Bombyx mori: one gene and its partners. The main gene of each other region encodes a partner of the protein of the gene in region 3 in a complex. Links are inferred from orthologs where the notes say so. Each region holds a gene or a part of one and is shown on either strand. Other genes may lie near its edges.

What was found.
Region 1: inhibitor of growth protein 5 (region 3) and chromatin modification-related protein MEAF6 share a complex: the UniProt entries of both Drosophila melanogaster proteins name them as parts of the enok complex. The link is inferred for Bombyx mori from reciprocal best matches to the Drosophila melanogaster genes Ing5 and Eaf6.
Region 2: inhibitor of growth protein 5 (region 3) and peregrin share a complex: the UniProt entries of both Drosophila melanogaster proteins name them as parts of the enok complex. The link is inferred for Bombyx mori from reciprocal best matches to the Drosophila melanogaster genes Ing5 and Br140.

The regions. Positions count from the first base shown.
Region 1 is NC_085128.1:6,603,368-6,609,365, forward strand, and holds chromatin modification-related protein MEAF6, read left to right. Parts: upstream 1-2,579; 5' UTR 2,580-2,777; coding exon 2,778-2,918; intron 2,919-2,984; coding exon 2,985-3,188; intron 3,189-3,267; coding exon 3,268-3,304; intron 3,305-3,381; coding exon 3,382-3,824; 3' UTR 3,825-4,754; coding exon of another isoform or gene 4,755-4,804; 3' UTR 4,805-4,888; coding exon of another isoform or gene 4,889-5,060; 3' UTR 5,061-5,618; downstream 5,619-5,998. Other genes in the region: osteopetrosis-associated transmembrane protein 1, read right to left, coding at 4,755-4,804, 4,889-5,060, 5,619-5,851. UniProt on the Drosophila melanogaster protein: Component of the Enok complex which has a histone H3 acetyltransferase activity. Might be involved in transcriptional activation of selected genes.
Region 2 is NC_085122.1:5,172,531-5,178,012, forward strand, and holds part of peregrin, read right to left. Parts: intron 5,325-5,482; coding exon 5,223-5,324; intron 4,432-5,222; coding exon 4,293-4,431; intron 3,321-4,292; coding exon 3,125-3,320; intron 2,190-3,124; coding exon 1,970-2,189; intron 1,241-1,969; coding exon 1,144-1,240; intron 557-1,143; coding exon 379-556; intron 1-378. UniProt on the Drosophila melanogaster protein: Scaffold subunit of the histone acetyltransferase (HAT) Enok complex which has histone H3 acetyltransferase activity.
Region 3 is NC_085109.1:3,386,144-3,392,257, forward strand, and holds inhibitor of growth protein 5, read left to right. Parts: upstream 1-2,140; 5' UTR 2,141-2,390; coding exon 2,391-3,215; 3' UTR 3,216-5,153; downstream 5,154-6,114. UniProt on the Drosophila melanogaster protein: Component of the Enok complex which has a histone H3 acetyltransferase activity.

The DNA of each region.
Region 1 (5,998 bases), on a different chromosome or scaffold from region 3:
GAGGGTTTTTAGGCCTTAGTCCACCACGCTGGCCTAGTGCTGGTTGGTGGATTACACACCTAAGAAAATCCTAAGAACATTTAGGTGTGCAGGTTTCATCACAATGTTTTCCTTCACTGTTAAAGTAAGTAAGTGATATTACACTGTGATAAATTTTCATTTTCACAAACTTCCTAGTACCTTATGTAATAGGAACTGAGATCCACTTGCCCATTTTGGCTACTTCCACTAACTAACTAACTATTCTCATTTTTTCTGATATTGTTATTTGATTAGGAGATCTGTGAGTGTAACTAATTATTGACAGTTACACCTACCTTGACTACAAGATGGCAAAGGTATAATAATACGACACATCTCATTTTTAGTCGTCTCTTCAATTTCCTTGATAATAGTGAGTCTTTGCCGTTTCACAAATGCAGGCCGAGGTTCACTATGATTGAATTTTCGTTTTCTATCTGCCCGACAATCGAATTTGGATGGTAAACAGTTTGGTTTCATTCGAATTCATTTGATGGAGCTCATTATCTTGTATTGCATATAATTCTCCATGTAGTTTTCCAGCTAAAACATGAAATAATTTTCCAACAATTTCAATACATAACCTATAAAAAAAATATTAAAATGTTATTTTACTAATGTTAGGAATATAATTTCGACTGTGTCAAAATGTTATTATAATGTATACCTACATTATCTCTTGAAAGATAAATAATGAACATATTTACTTATTTGTTTATATTACCTATGTGAACTCTTAACCTATCTTTTTTATACCTTCATAGCGATAGGTATATAGGAGGATGGAAAAAATGTATTTGGTCTAACTTTACGCGAATGCACATTATTTTATTTATTTTGTTTTTAATTTTTTTAATTAAACTGTATACCAATTAATTGATCCTTCAGGATTTATAATTGTTTTTTTTTCACGATTAAAACCGCGTAGAAAGTTTAGGCATTATAGTCACTGAGCAAGTAATCACTACGTTGACGCATGCGCCATAGATTATACACTTATGGCATGCGCAGTACACATATTTTGTATACATTTATTCAACTAATACAATTAATTAAACAAAAAATGAGTAATTTCGAAAGAGAACAAACGTATTTTATATAAGAACAATCGAAAATGAATATTTACGAGTAATTAAGGACGAAAAAATATTAAAAATTGCAATCGAGGGGCTAACTTTTAGATATATTTTTAATAATTTTTTTTAAATAAATAAATGGGGAACAAACAATTATTGACAATGAACAATCAAGAACAAATGATGAACAAACGAATTAATAGAAAATAAGTAGAAAACAGGAAAAAAAAATTTTTTTGAGGGGCTAACTTCATTCACCTCCATGGAGTACTTATTATATATCTACTTTTTTTTTATTTTATGACCTGGTAACAGAGACCTTTAGGTCATATCTTATTTGAAAAATGTGCATTACTTTGGGGTCACTACACTTCACTTCAATAAATTTTGTCATTTACATTATTTGAATTATATTTTTCATATAATTATAAATAGGTTTATCGGATGTTGGATCTTTTAGTAAAAAGTGGCGGCGGGCGAGAGGAAGAAACACATTTAATGCATTGGTATCCTCACTAGCCAGCACAAGTCTGAAATATGAAACTTTGGCAATCGAAAATAATGTGATGGATCGTCCCTTCCTTTGCTTGACAGTGTAAACATTGGTTGTTTGAAACAATGCCAAGTCCTGCTAGGTGTGACGGCGCAGTATTATGGCCAAAACTCAATCTGTTTATTGTTGTAATGAAATCTCGACTCTCACTAGTTTTCAATTTGTCATTCTTTTTGTATGGCAATTAACTTTATACGAAGCCTTTGTTTACAGTCTCGAAGTATTAAAAATCTTCAATCATTACATACTCTCATATAGATTCTGAAATTTGAAAAATGAAATGAAGCGAAATTAGATGAAGTTGATTTCTTTTAGACTTTAACCAATTGGGATGAAATCAAATGAAACCGGATGAAATAAAGTCACGGTAAAATGGAGGTTATTTACCGAGACTTTGTGAATTTTCTGGAAGAACCGAGAAGCTACGTTCAGCGGCTTTGTTTCATTTTTCCACATCTATGCACTTTCACAGATATTAAACAATTAATAAACCACCGTTATTACATATTTAAACCCAAAGAAACACTAAATAGACAAAATAAAACAAATCACACAACTTCACTTCCCGCCAAAAAGACGTTTAAGTAATACCGTACTTGTGTGCCTTTACACAGATATTTTTTCTCTTAGTTTTATCCTCGAAAAAGTCCACTAAAAAATCTCAGTGAACGACCACCATTTTACTGAGATTATATTTCATCCCATATCATCTCATCTCATTTCATTTAATTTCATCCCAGTTAATTAATGTCTCAAATCAATCAACTCCATTTTATTTTATTTCACTCCATATTATCATTTTTCATAAAAATAAGAATATAAATTAAAATAAGACATGATCTTAAGGTCTGAGTTACCAGGTCAGAAAATCCCATAAAAAAATTGAGTATACAAATTACAATAATCTGTGGAAGACAAGGCTTTATGTGCTTAGATCCCTTGCCTTTCTTAAAAGGAAAAATTGATTAAAATTGTATCAAAAAAATCTGTGGAATTTAAGGCAACAATTGCTAGAATAATAATTTGCGTTTTTGGAAATAAGTGGCACATTTCTGTTCAGAAAAAATACGCCTGTCTTAAGTGATCTGTTATGGAATTATAAAACACAAGTAACAACAATCATCAGCATGGTTATTTCACCACAAAGCCCCATTGATGACGCTCAAAGTGTGCAAACCAAAAGAACCAACATGGCTACTAAACAATCTTCAGTAGCCGATACTAGAGCTGAACTAGCTGAATTGGTCAAACGGAAAGCTGAAGTAGCTGTAAGTAGACATAATGACAGTCCTTTTGAGCATTTAATCTACCCTTCCTAATGAAAATGTTTACAGGAAACTTTAGCGAACTTGGAACGTCAGATTTATGCATTTGAGGGATCATATCTGGAAGATACTCAATTGTATGGAAATATAATTAGAGGATGGGATAGATACCTCACAACGAACAAAAGCACTAATTCCAAAGCTGACAAACGTAACAGAAAGTTCAAAGAAGCAGAAAGATTGTTTTCTAAATCTAGTATTACGTCTATGGCTGTAAGTTAATCTTTAAGTGAATTATTCTGTTTTATAACGTCTTAAAATACGATAACATAAATCCATTAAATTATTTCAGGCTGTTAGTGGACTTGTAGATGCTGCTGAAGCTAAAAGTAAGGATATTGAAACTGAAAATAATCAACTCACGACCGAAATATATTTTATTTTTTATAACAATTCCTTATTTCAGATGAAAGAAATAGTGAAACTGAATCGCAAACTAATGAAGACTCTTCAGACACACAGATTAGTTCAAATCTCAATCTTGGAGGTCTTAACCATACGACAATTCATGGTTCCACTGAAAGCATTGCTTCTAAGCCATCTGGGAAACAAAATACTAATGGAACATTAGATAAAACATTAACTAGTGCTCAAACAAAACAAACAGCTACACAAAAAATAGCTACTGCATCTGGCATGCTCCAGAAGGCATTTAGTAGTGAAAGTAAAATATTATCAGGAATGGGACTTGATAGTCGACCTGGCACACCAAAAGAAAAGGAATCTAATGTAAACATTATTAATAAAGTTGATTTAACACCAAACTCACTAAAACACAAAATGTCTAGTAGCGGAAGCAGTAGTAGCGGCAGCATCAAAAAGAACAACAAGAAAGCTAGGCACAGGTGAACATTATGCACTCTATCATGTTAATGGCAGATTTTAGTAGGTGCTAGTCTGAAGATTTATGCTGGGTGTAAGGAAACCATTCCCATACTGAAATATTAATATGATACAAATACAGTACATACATAAACATAGTGCAGATATTTAAACTTAATGCGAACAGTATATTGACTCTTCAAAAGCAAACGTGACTAAGCGACAATAACTGCTTTATACTTAAATGATAGGCAATAACCATATTCAATGCGCAAAAAAAAAATTACTTCTAGGTCTATTATAATCATTTCAATCATACAGCTAGATTTGTTAAAATATATTTTTTTTCAGGTATTTCAACTTTAAATTAGTCTACTGTAAAGTTCATGCATTGTCGCTTAGTCACGTTTGCCTTTCAAGTGTTGATATATTCTAATTCTGCATTAAAAATTCGAAAAAAACATAACTTTACCATTTGTCCCATATATCATTATTAAGTTATATATTATAAATGAGTCGTCTATTATCAAAGGCGGCAATCTGTACATTTGGACAAAATTTTTTTATTGATATGTCAATACAGATTTATTTGAATATAATCGTCTCCTTCAAAGAATACGGTTCAAAACCTGCATTAAATAAAGGTTAATAGTTAACCTGTTATTTATCTAAGATGTCGTTCCGAAGAGTTTTGTGACTGCCAATGGAATACAAAGTCAATAATTCGTTTTTCTGATTTACCAATCATTGTCCAAAAGTCAGATTGCCGCCTTTGATAATAGTCGACTCAAATGTCATTTAATGTTACTAAGAGCAATGTTGTAAAGTGTAATTTAATGTTTTTTGTAATAGTTCTCAACACTCCTTGTAGCAATGAAACAATATGTATTCTTTTTAACTAATGTTATTGTATAAAAATAAATAATGAATTGTTGATTTACATAAAAATATTGTGACCTAATTGATACCATTAACTGTTCTTAATATCCTTTGTTTGAATCTTGATTCTGAAATTATGTTTTGTTTGTATTAGTAAAATTATACCAAACAGGACATGATAAATAGATATTAAATGAGAAACTGATACATACGCTTTAAAATATTAGGTAAGTCCTTAATTGGTCCACAATATTTCACCATAATATAATACAAAACTGGTAAGCATGCAATAATTCCAGAACAACACAAAAATATTATTTCTGGAGACTTTCTCAATTTACAACAGTTTAGGCTTTTGCTCCATATTGATCTAGTTGCATTCATCTGAAATGATAAGGTAAATCATTATATTTTTAGTTTATTTTTTTGAAGTTGAGTCTTTATATGAGAAATCTCAGTATTCTCTATCAAATCTAATATTTTATTGCATAAATGTGTTAGCAAGCTCGTATTATAACCAGTAACAATAGATATCACAATGTGCACGCTGGCACCTGGCAAATGTGAGGCTTTTGTATTGTGATTGTATGATATAATTATTGTCCTATCCTTCCAAAACACAACACATTACTGCTCCTTGCCAGAAACAGGCACGGTGCTTGTAGTAGGCACTGTAGGTTTTGCATGTTCCCAAAAACTTTACCACTATTTATATTTCTTATTACTATTACTCCATCATAAAAAATGGAAATTGGCCTTTGATGTCAACTATGGCATAGTTTGTTGCATTCATGTGAGTAAATTGGCTGACAATAATTGGTGTTCATTATGACTTATATTTTATGTAAGAAAAAATATTATGCATTATAGACATCTATTTGCATTTGCAAGTAAATTAAAAGAATTACTTGATTACTTCATTGTTACAATTAGTGTACTTACAGAATCAATAACATCCATGCATATAATATCCAGCCCTATTCTGTCAAAACTAAGAGATTCATAATAGTTATTCAGCTGTATGTAGCTCTGCATACAGTTCTCACACACTTTTGTACTATTCTCTTTGGGATTTATATTGTCTTCAATACATTGCATTGTTTCATTAAAAATTTGATAAAAATGGTAAGTTTTATTTGAAATTTCTGGTTTATCTTTAGTCCAGTTAAAACAATCTAAAATGATAAAATAAACATAAACAGACATGTATCTCATGCATTGCATTTAAGGAACCTTACTAGATAGCTCTCACTCTACTTTTATTCAGATACTTATAAAAGAAATAAAAAACAAAAGCATTAAAAGTTTTCACCGGGTAACAT
Region 2 (5,482 bases), on a different chromosome or scaffold from region 3:
TACATAACTTGAACTATCAATTCAGGGCAACCTCGACATATGTGCGAATCAATGTAATGCAAATAAAATTAATAAAACGATAATAATGGCTTGAACGCAAATTCTTAGTGCGTATACAAAATTCAAAATCGGTATGCTCTTATTAACTTTGTACCCTATTTTCTAAAAAATTCCAAGGGTCAACATTTCGAAGGAATATATATATGGGCGTGCCCTGATAGCCTTATCACGACGAACCGGTAGGCAGCGGCTTGGCTCTGGCCCTGGCATTGCTGAAGTCCATGGGCGACGGTAACCACTCAACATCAGGTGGGCCGTTTGCCCGTCTGCCTACTAGGGCAATAAAAAAAAATAAAAAAAGACCCAGGCACAAGTTACCTCTTGCAAGTCGACCGGCTCCGTGAATATATCGCTGGAGTCCTTCTGGCGCAACAAGCGCAGCAGCTTGTGGAGCACGGCCCGCTCGGGTCGCAGCGAGTGAAGGAAGCAGCGCTCCCACACGCGGGTGTACTCCGCCTTCAGACGCTCGCGTTTACGTACCAGCTCACACAGCAATCTATGCAAAACATTACCGACTCTATGTTACTGTTACATAGACAATCTATCTAAGGACTTTTGGCGGGAACGCGAGGAGTGAAATTGTGTGATTTGTTTTATTTTTAGCCGACTTCAAAAAAGAAGGAGGTTCTCAATTTGACTGTACGTTTTTTTTTATTTTATGTTTGTTATCTCATAACTTTTGACTGGGTGAATTGATTTTGATGATACCTCTGTGGGAATATTAAATTTATCTTTTATCTTTATAATGATTGCATCCGTTTATTGGTTTTCAATTATGGAGATGTTAACCGAATTTCAGACGTTAACGCAGCCTCCATTCGATCCGGAACGCATAGGTGTGTCACGATAAAAATCAACGAAATAGTGGTACCACTACCACACAAAAACAGACGTGGCGGATTTGGTTTTTATTCCACGCTGTTATTGCTTAATTAAAAATTTTTAGTCCCGTCATGTTTGAATCAATCGATACGAACGCTTCAAATAATTTGAATTAGTTATTTTTTTTTTATTATTATTATTGTCAAGCTCTCGAAAATGTATGTAACCAATAAAAGTTAAAATAAAACCCTTAAAAATCACCTTGCGCGTTCCAAATCTTGTCGTATTCTCTGCCAATACTTCAACTGATTACACAGCTCTCGTACATTGACAGCTGCGTCTTGTATGCCTCTACTGCCTGTAAATAATAATAGAATTTAAAAAAAAATAGGCTAGTCATATTGGTTCAAAAACTGAAGAAATACAACGTGGTATAAATCTATATAAGTATTTATAGGTTTATTGATCATAGGTTTATTGATCTTATTGGTTTGTTTATCTTTTTTGGGTTGCAAAAGCATAAGATTGTGATGAAAAATTTTGCAATTGTCTCAAGGTACTATAACTAACGCGAGAGTAGTCTTGAGAGATCCATAGCTAGCCACAGCGAAGCGTAAAGTGGTTTAGCTGGTCTATACTAATATTATAAAGCTGAAGAGTTTGTTTGTTTGAACGCGCTAATCTCAGGAACTATTGGTCCGATTTGAAAAATTCTTTCAGTGTTAGATAGCCCATTTATCGAGGACGGCTATAGACTATATACCATCATGCTAAGACCAATACAAGCGGAGCACCAATAAAGAATATTTCAAAATCGGGTTTTTTTCCCTTTTGAAAGTATCCGCCGCGTGCGCTGCAGAAAAGGTTAAAGTTTTGCTAAAATAATGTATGACAGAATTGTTCCCCTTAAAAAGGTCTAAAAAAAGTCCGCCATAGCATACCTATGTCTATATGTTAAGGTTGGCTGACTAAAATGTTTTTTATGCTAACCAAATTTGTTCTAAAATAAAGCATTATTTGTGAGCTATTCCACGCGGACAAAGTCGCGGGTAAAAGCTAGTACATATATAAATATATGAAAACTCACCATGATTGGTCGTCAAGCTCTGCAGTCTCCTCAACAGCGGCACACCGTTCCTGCTGTGCCGTTTCAGGGTCCAGTAAGCGAGGAGTCGCTTCATGAGCTGGGCCCTGGCGGCGGGCGGACCCTGGGCCAACTGGGCCACGTCCGCCACGCGCTCGGCCGGCAAAGTCGGTACTAACACGACCGGGGCCCAAGTTCGTTTCATTGCTAACACGCGACGTGCCTACGGTTAAAATTATAAACATTAGTTTTTACTGATGGTAGGACCTCTTGTGAGTCCGCACGGGTAGGTACCACCACCCTGCCTATTTCTACTGAATTTCTATTGGAGCAGTATTGCGTTTCGGTTTGAAGGGTGGGGCAGCCATTGCAAGTATACTGCGACCTTAGAGCTTATATCTCAAGGTTGGTGGCGCATTTTACGTTGTAGATGTCTATGGGCTCCAGTAACCACTTAACACCAGGTGGGCTGTGAGCTCGTCCACCCATCTAAGCAATACAAGCAAAAGCAGCAATACAAGCAATACAAGCAAAGCAAAAGCAAAATAAGCAAATACAATTCAAATGGTTCAAGTCATTGAGGATTCGGTCAATGAAAGTAAAATAAATGAAGGAAATCTTGGTTATTATGTACATGATAATTTTTTTACTAGTGGTTAGGACCTTTTGTGAGTCCGCGCGGGTAGGTACCACCACCCTGCTTATTTCTGCCGTGAAGCAGTAATCCGTTTCGGCTTAAAGAGTGGGGCAGCCGATGTAACTATACTGAGATCTTAGAACTTATATCTCAAGGTGGGTGGCGCATTTACGTTGTAGATGTATGGACTCCAGTAACCGCTTAACACCAGGTAGGCTGTGAGCTCGTCCACCCATCTAAGCAATAAGAAATCTATACTAATATATAAATCTACAGTGGTTTTTACGGATGTTCCGTTATAACTATTGAACCATACATCCGATTGACTTGAAACTTAGTATCCATGTAGAAAATACATGTACTTAATGGATAAGCTAATATTTACACGAGTGTTGGACTCCCTACATCGGTTGCGGGGGCGTTAATGATCGAGAATCTTTGTGGGGGTGAGAAATAATAATGTTAATTTTAAATGCCCAGCGAAGCGGACGGGTACAGCCAGTACAATAAATAAAAAGAACCTGTTTGATTTTATCCCGTCCTTTCTGTCTCACTGCATTGAGGTCGTTGCATTTAGAATCGTTGTCCGAGTCCCTGGCTCGTCTCTCTTGTAGGACATGCGCCGGAGTGTGCGCGTCGCAGTACGCCATTTTCGCTACCTGAACCGGCTGGCTTGGGTCCCGGCCAGATCCGGCCGCTTCCATTTTCATATAAAGTCTGGGGATGTTTTTAGAGACATTTTTATGAATTTCATTTGCGATGTCATCACGGCCTAAAGGTTAAGGCGCCTTGTGAATTCGTATCGAACGATGCGACTGTGTCGATGTTCGAAACTCACAGACCCGGTACCAATTTTTCTAATTAAATACGTAATTAACAGTTGTTCACAAACGACTTCCAAGATGAAAGAATAACATCATCGTATAATATAAATAAATAAAACATTGCACGGAAGGATGGTAGCAATCTCCAGAGGCTCATCGTGACCGGTAAGGTAGATGGGAAAAGACCTCGGGGGCGTAGCCCAATATGTTGGTCCGACCAGATCCGCACCGCTCTTGATTCCACATTTCACAACGCCCTCCACACCACCAGAGACAAGAATAAATGGAGAAAGATCGTGTGTGCGAGGTAATAAAAAAGGGTGGTTACGACCCTCAGCAGTGAGGAATACAACGCAAGGAGGATTATAAATAAAACCCGTAAAAATATATTTTGCGTAATTACTGGTGTTAGAGCATACACTGGGGCCATATGGGTAGGTACCACCACCTAAATAGCCCAAGTTATCCCAATTTATTCCATGAAGCAGTAATGTGTTTCGGTTTGAAGGCTGAGACAGCCATTGTACTGTAACACTGAGACTTAGAAGTCATGTCTTAAGGTGAGTAGCGGCATACGTTATTGATGTCTATGGGCTCCGGTAACCGCTTAACACCAGGTAAGCCATGAGCTCGTCCATATAAGCAATAAAAAAAGGAAAAAAAATTACTTTGATCTCATATCAAGATATGTAGAAACATTTACATTATGTTGTCTATGGACTCCAGTAATAGATTATACTAGATAAATCGAACCATAATATAGTTATCTTTTTTTTAATTCACATTAGGGACTAGCTCTTGTCTCGCAATAAACGTAGTTTATTTGAAAAATGAATTTGTATTCAATTCTAGTACCGGTACTTACCCAGCTTGTTGTGCACAAGTCACATGAAAAGCTGAATAACAGTTACTCTTATGACACTGTATGCAAGAGCCAACTCCCCTCTGCTTGCAAACCATACATTGTAACTTCCAACGAGCCGCCGGGATCATTTCAATTGAATCTGTGATATAATACGTAGTTAATAATCTTGTTACCGGTGTCAGTATTTTAACAAAGTTATCAAAACATAGTCATAAAACCCGACAACAACCCAATATCAGAGAGGTCTAGCTCTGTATCATTACACTTGATGTGACTGTCATCTATCTTAGGTAGTGTTAGCAAATCCTTCCAGATTCAGCCCCGTGAACCAACCCGACTATGCATGCTTGGAATAGCCACGAAGGCTACCAACGATTAGGTGGGTCTTTAAGCTTACAATACTTAGTATCATAAATTCATAATTAGGAAGTATTTTATAATTAAGCTAGTAGATAGAGACTGAATATTTTTTATCACTGAGGTGACCTATAAGGTTGAATGACTATGAGAACGACTTATCAAATTAAACATTTCAAATTACGATTGACTATAACATATTCTTATCAGTTATAATGGTACAGAACAGTCTTATTCCAGTTCAAGGAAGCAAAAAGATAATGACTATTTGCAACCATTTGTAATTTTTATTTTATTAAATAATTTTTGATAATAATAATATAATAAGCTGTATAAATAATAAATATGTTACTTGTATAATAAAATGTTTTTCATAGATTAGATTAAATTTCGTGCTTTAGACTTTCAGAGATTTTTATAAATTTCCCTCATTACCCTAATTCACATCCTAAAAATATAGTAATTTGGTATTCATTGGTATTTTTTTCCACAATTCATAACATAGTTATTTGTAAAAATTATACTATAGAATGAATTTTATAAAAAGTTATCCAAATGTATTTTCACACTCACCAATTGGTTCCAGAAAGACTGTATTAGCAAATCGCACTTCCGGTATCCACAATGCACACACAACATGAGCCCAAGTTCCCTGATCTGTTTGTTTGAATGCTCCTGCAATATGATTATGGAATGAAATAAAATCTCTAAACATAGAATGATTTAAATGAACATTACTATATGTACAGGGTGTATTGCAAGTGTTGAATAACTTTATATTATCTGTGCAACACCGGTTTGACTGACAGACAATTGAACACAAGTAAAATGTT
Region 3 (6,114 bases):
TACTGGCTATAGAAAGTAAAGACAACTCATAAACAGCTAATATTGACTAAAAAGGCGACTAGTTAATGACCGTAAATATCTTGAAATTTGAAACAAGAAAGCTGATCGACCACTTTTTGGTGGGAACGCAAGAATCGCAGTGTAAATTGTATAATTTACATTTAGTGTTTCTTCAGCTTTGAACATGCTATAATGGTGGCTTATTTAACGTTTAACATCAGTGAAAGCGTAAAATTGTGAGTGCAAAAAAGGCCATTTAATTCTCAATAAATTTCAACCATTTTATTGGAACGTCATTTCTTTTGCTATAGTTTTTACAAAGTCGACACTGGCAGCAATAGCAATATTCAGGAAAAGAATAGACTTTTTGGCGGGAACGCGAGGAGTGAGGTTGTGTGATCTTTTATTTTGTCTATTTTGTTTTTCCTCAGGTTTAAATGTGTAATAACGGTGGTTTATTAACTGTTTAATGTCTGTGAAAGTGCACAAATGTGGGAAAATGAAACAAAGCCGCTGAACGTAACTTCTCAGGATCCTCCAAAAAGTCCACTGAAAAAGTCTCAGTAAGTAATTGATCACGATTTTACTGAGATTATATGACATCCCATATCATCTCATCTCATTTCATTTAATTTCATCCCAGTTGATTAATGTGTCAAATTAACCACCTCCATTTCATTTCATTTCACTTCATATTATAATTTTTCGTAAAAATATGAATATAAATTAAAATAAGACATGACTTAAAGGTCTTAGATACCAGGTCATAAAATCCCTTAAAAAAAAGGAAAAGAATATTAATTAAATAAAGATCAAATTTCGTACGTATAGCAAGCAGGTTTTGATTATTCGATGGACGATTCGATATTTTGTGGGAAACGATATCAAAACAAATTTTCACTACCACCCATTTCTTTAATTTTCACTTCTTTAGTAGTCACTCATAGTGGTTGGAATGTTTATGATATTAAAACAGGTCTCCCGATAAGTCTAAATACTCATCTAAGAAGCTAGTTAATTTTTTTCCTAAAATTAAATTATTACGGATTTTTCGAGCGTGAGAAAATTGCTTATGAGTTTTAATGTAAACTTGCAATTTGCAACACAAGGAAGGAAGTTTATTAGGCCACGATCTGATCATTTTACTCTTTTAGGTGTAAAACAAAAAGGTATCCAAAAGATTCAATTTCTAATTTTGAATAACAATTTATTGCTTGACATTATTATCGTACAATAACATGACCTAATAAAAATAGCGATTGCCCGTCCCGTTCTCGTAAATTCGTCAAATGCGACGAAGATTTCTGAGTTTCTCGCGAGGTATTTTCAGTGTGTCGTGATTCCGACCCCGTGGCAGATTCAGGGAAACACTGCTCTTGTTAGGGCAGATTTCAGGAAAATTTGAGTGACCCGTGAGCTCAAGGTGAAGTCAGAACAGCCCCTCGAGGCTACTGGCAGATATGTAGGCAAATCAAATTAGTAACGATTGTTTCTGTTTGGTAAAAACGTACGTGACACACAAGATTTCAATAAAAAAAGTGTGTGTGTCCGCTCCGACGCACGACTGGAGTTTACTGGATATAAAAAATTAAACGAAACAATACGAGAAATAGTTCTATATTACGACAACACGATACACTACAGATTATTAACAAATTAACGAGACACAAAACAAACGACTAACAAATATATGAAAATACAATAATGAGAGAAACGCGCGATCAGTACGAGGCTTTGTGGCGGACTGCCGGCGCAGCAGCCCGGCGTCACCTGCGATAACGCGGCCGCGCGTTGGCTCCTGATTGGCGCGCGCACGCATCACGCAATCAGGAGCCAATCAGGCGCATAACGCATTTCGTGTGACATGCTAGTACGATTTTGGTCCCCATAATTTTCATACCCCGGGCCTATATATGTAAATCGATTCTAAAGGAGTAAACTCCAAAAAATTATTGTTTTTAACAGTTTTTTTTTATTATAAATATATTACTTTGCAAATTAATGGTACAAATATGTATACAGGTACCTAATTATTATTTGATTAATTTTGAATCACTCTTGCAGGAAATAGGTTTTGGTAGGTACATACGTACAAATTAAAACTAATCACTAATCAGGAAACGAAGAATCTATTAGTGTAAAACATGGCAACATTGAAATGTTCGCTTGTTTGAGCTTGAAAGAAAATTGCAAGTGAATTGTAATGAAGTGTTCTTAGATTTTGAATTTTAATTATAAAACAAAAGAGCATTAGCAGTACCGTATAGTTAAGTTTATGAATAGTGATAGAAAATATTTTTCTAGACATACCTATAAGGTAAACATTTGAGTTTTCTGTTAAACTACTTTCATTTTATCGTCAAAGTGTCGCACGCACAAATTTTATCAAAATGACTTCTGCTCTTTATTTGGAGCATTATTTGGACAGTCTACAGCACTTGCCGATTGAACTGCAAAGAAACTTCAAGTTGATGAGAGATTTGGATGACCGCGCTCACGGGTTAATGAGAACCATTGACCTTATGGCCGATGAGTTGCTTCCAAGTATTCCAAAAATGGATGAAGAAACAAAAAAAGAAAAGGTGAACACTATTCAAGGATTATTCAATAAAGCTAAAGAGTATGGAGACGATAAAGTGCAACTTGCAATTCAGACCTACGAATTAGTAGACAAGCATATACGTAGACTTGATTCTGACCTCGCGCGTTTTGAGTCTGAAATACAAGAGAAAGTAATGAGTGCTCGTGCAGCTCAACAGGCTGCTGCAGATCAGGAAACAAATCCGGCCACAGCTAAAAAAGGTAGGAAAAAGCATAAAGGTACTGAGAAAGCAGCTGCTACGACTGGTAAAAAGAAGCGTGCCGGGGCCTCCAGTGAAGAAGACGCTGTCGCATCCGGAAGGTCAGCTGCGAAGAAGAAAGTTCAGCGTAAAGGTACCACCACCACAACAAATGTTACAAAAGAACAGGAAGAGACTGCCGATTTGGATTCAGTGGCCGGCATGGCACACCCCAGTGATGTGCTAGACATGCCGGTGGATCCTAATGAACCAACATACTGTCTGTGTCATCAAGTTTCATATGGTGAAATGATTGGTTGTGATAACCCAGATTGCCCAATTGAGTGGTTCCATTTTGCTTGTGTTGATCTGAAAATTAAACCTAAGGGTAAATGGTACTGCCCTAAGTGCACTCAGGATAGAAAAAAGAAATGATCCACAGCTAAACCACCTTTGAAACCCACAGATAAGACTGTTACTCTAAAGAAAGAGGTGAAGTGACTTCCTATAAAAATTAAAATATAATAATAATATATAACTCCCAACCATATAAGGAATTGTGATTTTATTATTATTATAGTTATTGTAGTCTAATGAGTCCATACTGTTGTGTAAGTCATATGACATTAAATAAATCTTACTGCATTCATAAAGTGATACGTCATTAACACCTTACCAGTGACATTTTAATCACTTGAAACCAAAAGGTAGATCTTTTAAAAACAATAGATTTGTTTTGTTATGTGTGATAGTAGGACTCATGACTGTACTACTTGAAGCTGTAGTGCCAATAAATTAAATATAGATTATTGCAGAATCTGAAATATTACATTAATATTGCATAATATATTCTCAAATTATAAAGGCATTAAATACATCTTAAAATGCATCATTAATACATTGTTTACTGAAAACAATTTCTATTATTTTATAGAAATGAAAACATGACAATAAATTAACACCATTTTACAATTTATACAGCTATCAAGTAATTGTTGAAATAATTTGTTAAACACAAATAAACAAATGTACATATATTTCATTGAATTTATTTTCAAAATATTGTATAAATTTGGATTTAAGTACCTACGTGGTGTCTTAAATAAAATTAAAAAATTATAATTGAATGCAAAATTTATAGTATTTACCTATATATGTATGTCATCTGAAAGCTATCTAATAAACAAGATCAATTCCAGTTTGATACTGAGATAATTTGACAGGTGCAAGAAATAACGTTTTGTAACTCAGTTTTAGCTAAACGTGATATACAATCCATGCGTTTGTTGAATTGTATAAAGGGCTTTTTAAAAAACAGATTAGATTTTGACAAAACATAAAGCCCCATTACAGAATTAAATATTTTCAGCTGTAATAATTAAGTTCTGAAAGTAAAGTTTCATGTTCTTAAAGCTTTTGAATATGAAAGATTGGTGTGCAGTTGCATATTAAGTTATATGTATTGCTAGTATTGATCATGGCTAAGCACAATTGTATTAAGATTATTTTAGTTTAATAAGATTAAAAACCAAATAATTGTGTTAGCTATATCACATTATTGAAATGGAGAAAAGGAGATAAGGATTTTATTAAAATCAATTTGAGCTTTTACAATTTTTCATCTCTTTTGACTTCTTTCTGCCCTAATATGATTTATAAAATAATCTTTTGTGAAAATGCATCGGAAATTAGTTTTGTAAAAGAGACAAATTTATATTTCAAAATTGGTTAAAGTATGCACGCAAATTGGGAACATTTCATTACACTCTCGCACGTCCCTCCTATATTAATAGTGCCAGGCATTTTACGTTCACCCTCATTACTGTAATCATAAAAAAAGGGCTTGGTTCAAAGTCTTTCTTTCATCATAGTCTGTTGCTCTTGGCAGAGCGGTCGTGATCATGTGGAATTCTTTCTTTAACCAGATTGAAATTAATTTATTTTTTATTTTTCTAACAGTAAATTTTGATATATGTAGATAGTGAAATTAAATATTGAAACAAGTTATGGCAGTCAATTGAAGCAAATTTATACTGAATATAATGTAATAAGTACATATTGTAATTAGAATTTTTTGAACTGTACATTGTAGTAGATTTTGTATGTATTAGCTAGAAATGTAGAGTTTTTTAAATATTAAATGTTTGTTATTATATGCTTCCAGTTTCGTTGTTTTAAATCGTTCAGTAGAATTTTTGATTGTATTTCATTATTTAAATGTGCTCAATTTGTTTTATCACTTGTTTTTAATCAAATAGCTAACTCAATAAGTTGAATGTAGACATTCAGTAAATGTAGTACCAATAAATGATTTTGAAAAGATTGTAAAATATAATCAAATAATTTACATGATTAAATTTTATTTTAAAATAATATGTTAATTATCATTGAACCTGTTTATTTATGAGTATGTTCCTTTAACGCAGGCCGCTTGGTGCCGGCGGGCTAGAATAGCACCATCCATCTGTTCGAGTCTTTCTCTAGTCGTAACAATCCCCGTTCCACTGGGTCTAGAAAGATAAGGACGAGTATGTGCACCTGTATCTCTTGCACACGCTTGTGCACGTTAATATATCCTGCGCAACTGACCGCTTTGGACTCTGATTTCAGATTAGTCCTACGGCGATGGGTGAAAGGAGAGAGGCTTGACGTGATGCAGGTTGGGCTTTGTCTGACATCTACACGTAGGTGTCCCTGCGGGTGTAATATTGCTTGCGTGGTCGCTTTTGTTCTGCATTGGGGTGATAGAGCGGATTCGGCAACACCCGGGGTGACAAAGCAGCCCTATTCAGGGAGGCACTGCTTTCCTCGCTCAGCCGGAGAGGGGGCTAGAAAAGGTGTCCTAAACAAATGCTCACTCTAACCCTTATGGAGGGTAGCAACCGCGGCAGCCTTCGCATCTAAAATTCGCGGTTGAAGCCATAGGAAAAATAATGTTAGTAAATCAACGTCACTGACGTTTGGCGCGTGGAATGTGCGTAGACTCCTTGACCGTGAGGTAAGTTCCTGTCCCGAACGCAAGACTGCCATTGTAGCTCGGGAGGTTCATCGCCATAATATTGATGTGGCTGCACTCAGCAAAACACATCTTCCAGAAGAAAGGGAGCTGGTAGAGCACAGTGGCGGGTATACTTTCTTCTGGAAAGGACTTCAAGTACAAACACAAACACACAACAGGCGCTTCCTCAGAGCCACGAAGGTCAGGAGTAGGCTTTGCTGTCAAAAAGAACCTTGCTAAACAACTACAGGAGTACCCTATACACATCTTCGACCGCATTACCACATTACGCCTTCATATGGAACATGACGATTACCTTAATATCATCAGTGTCTA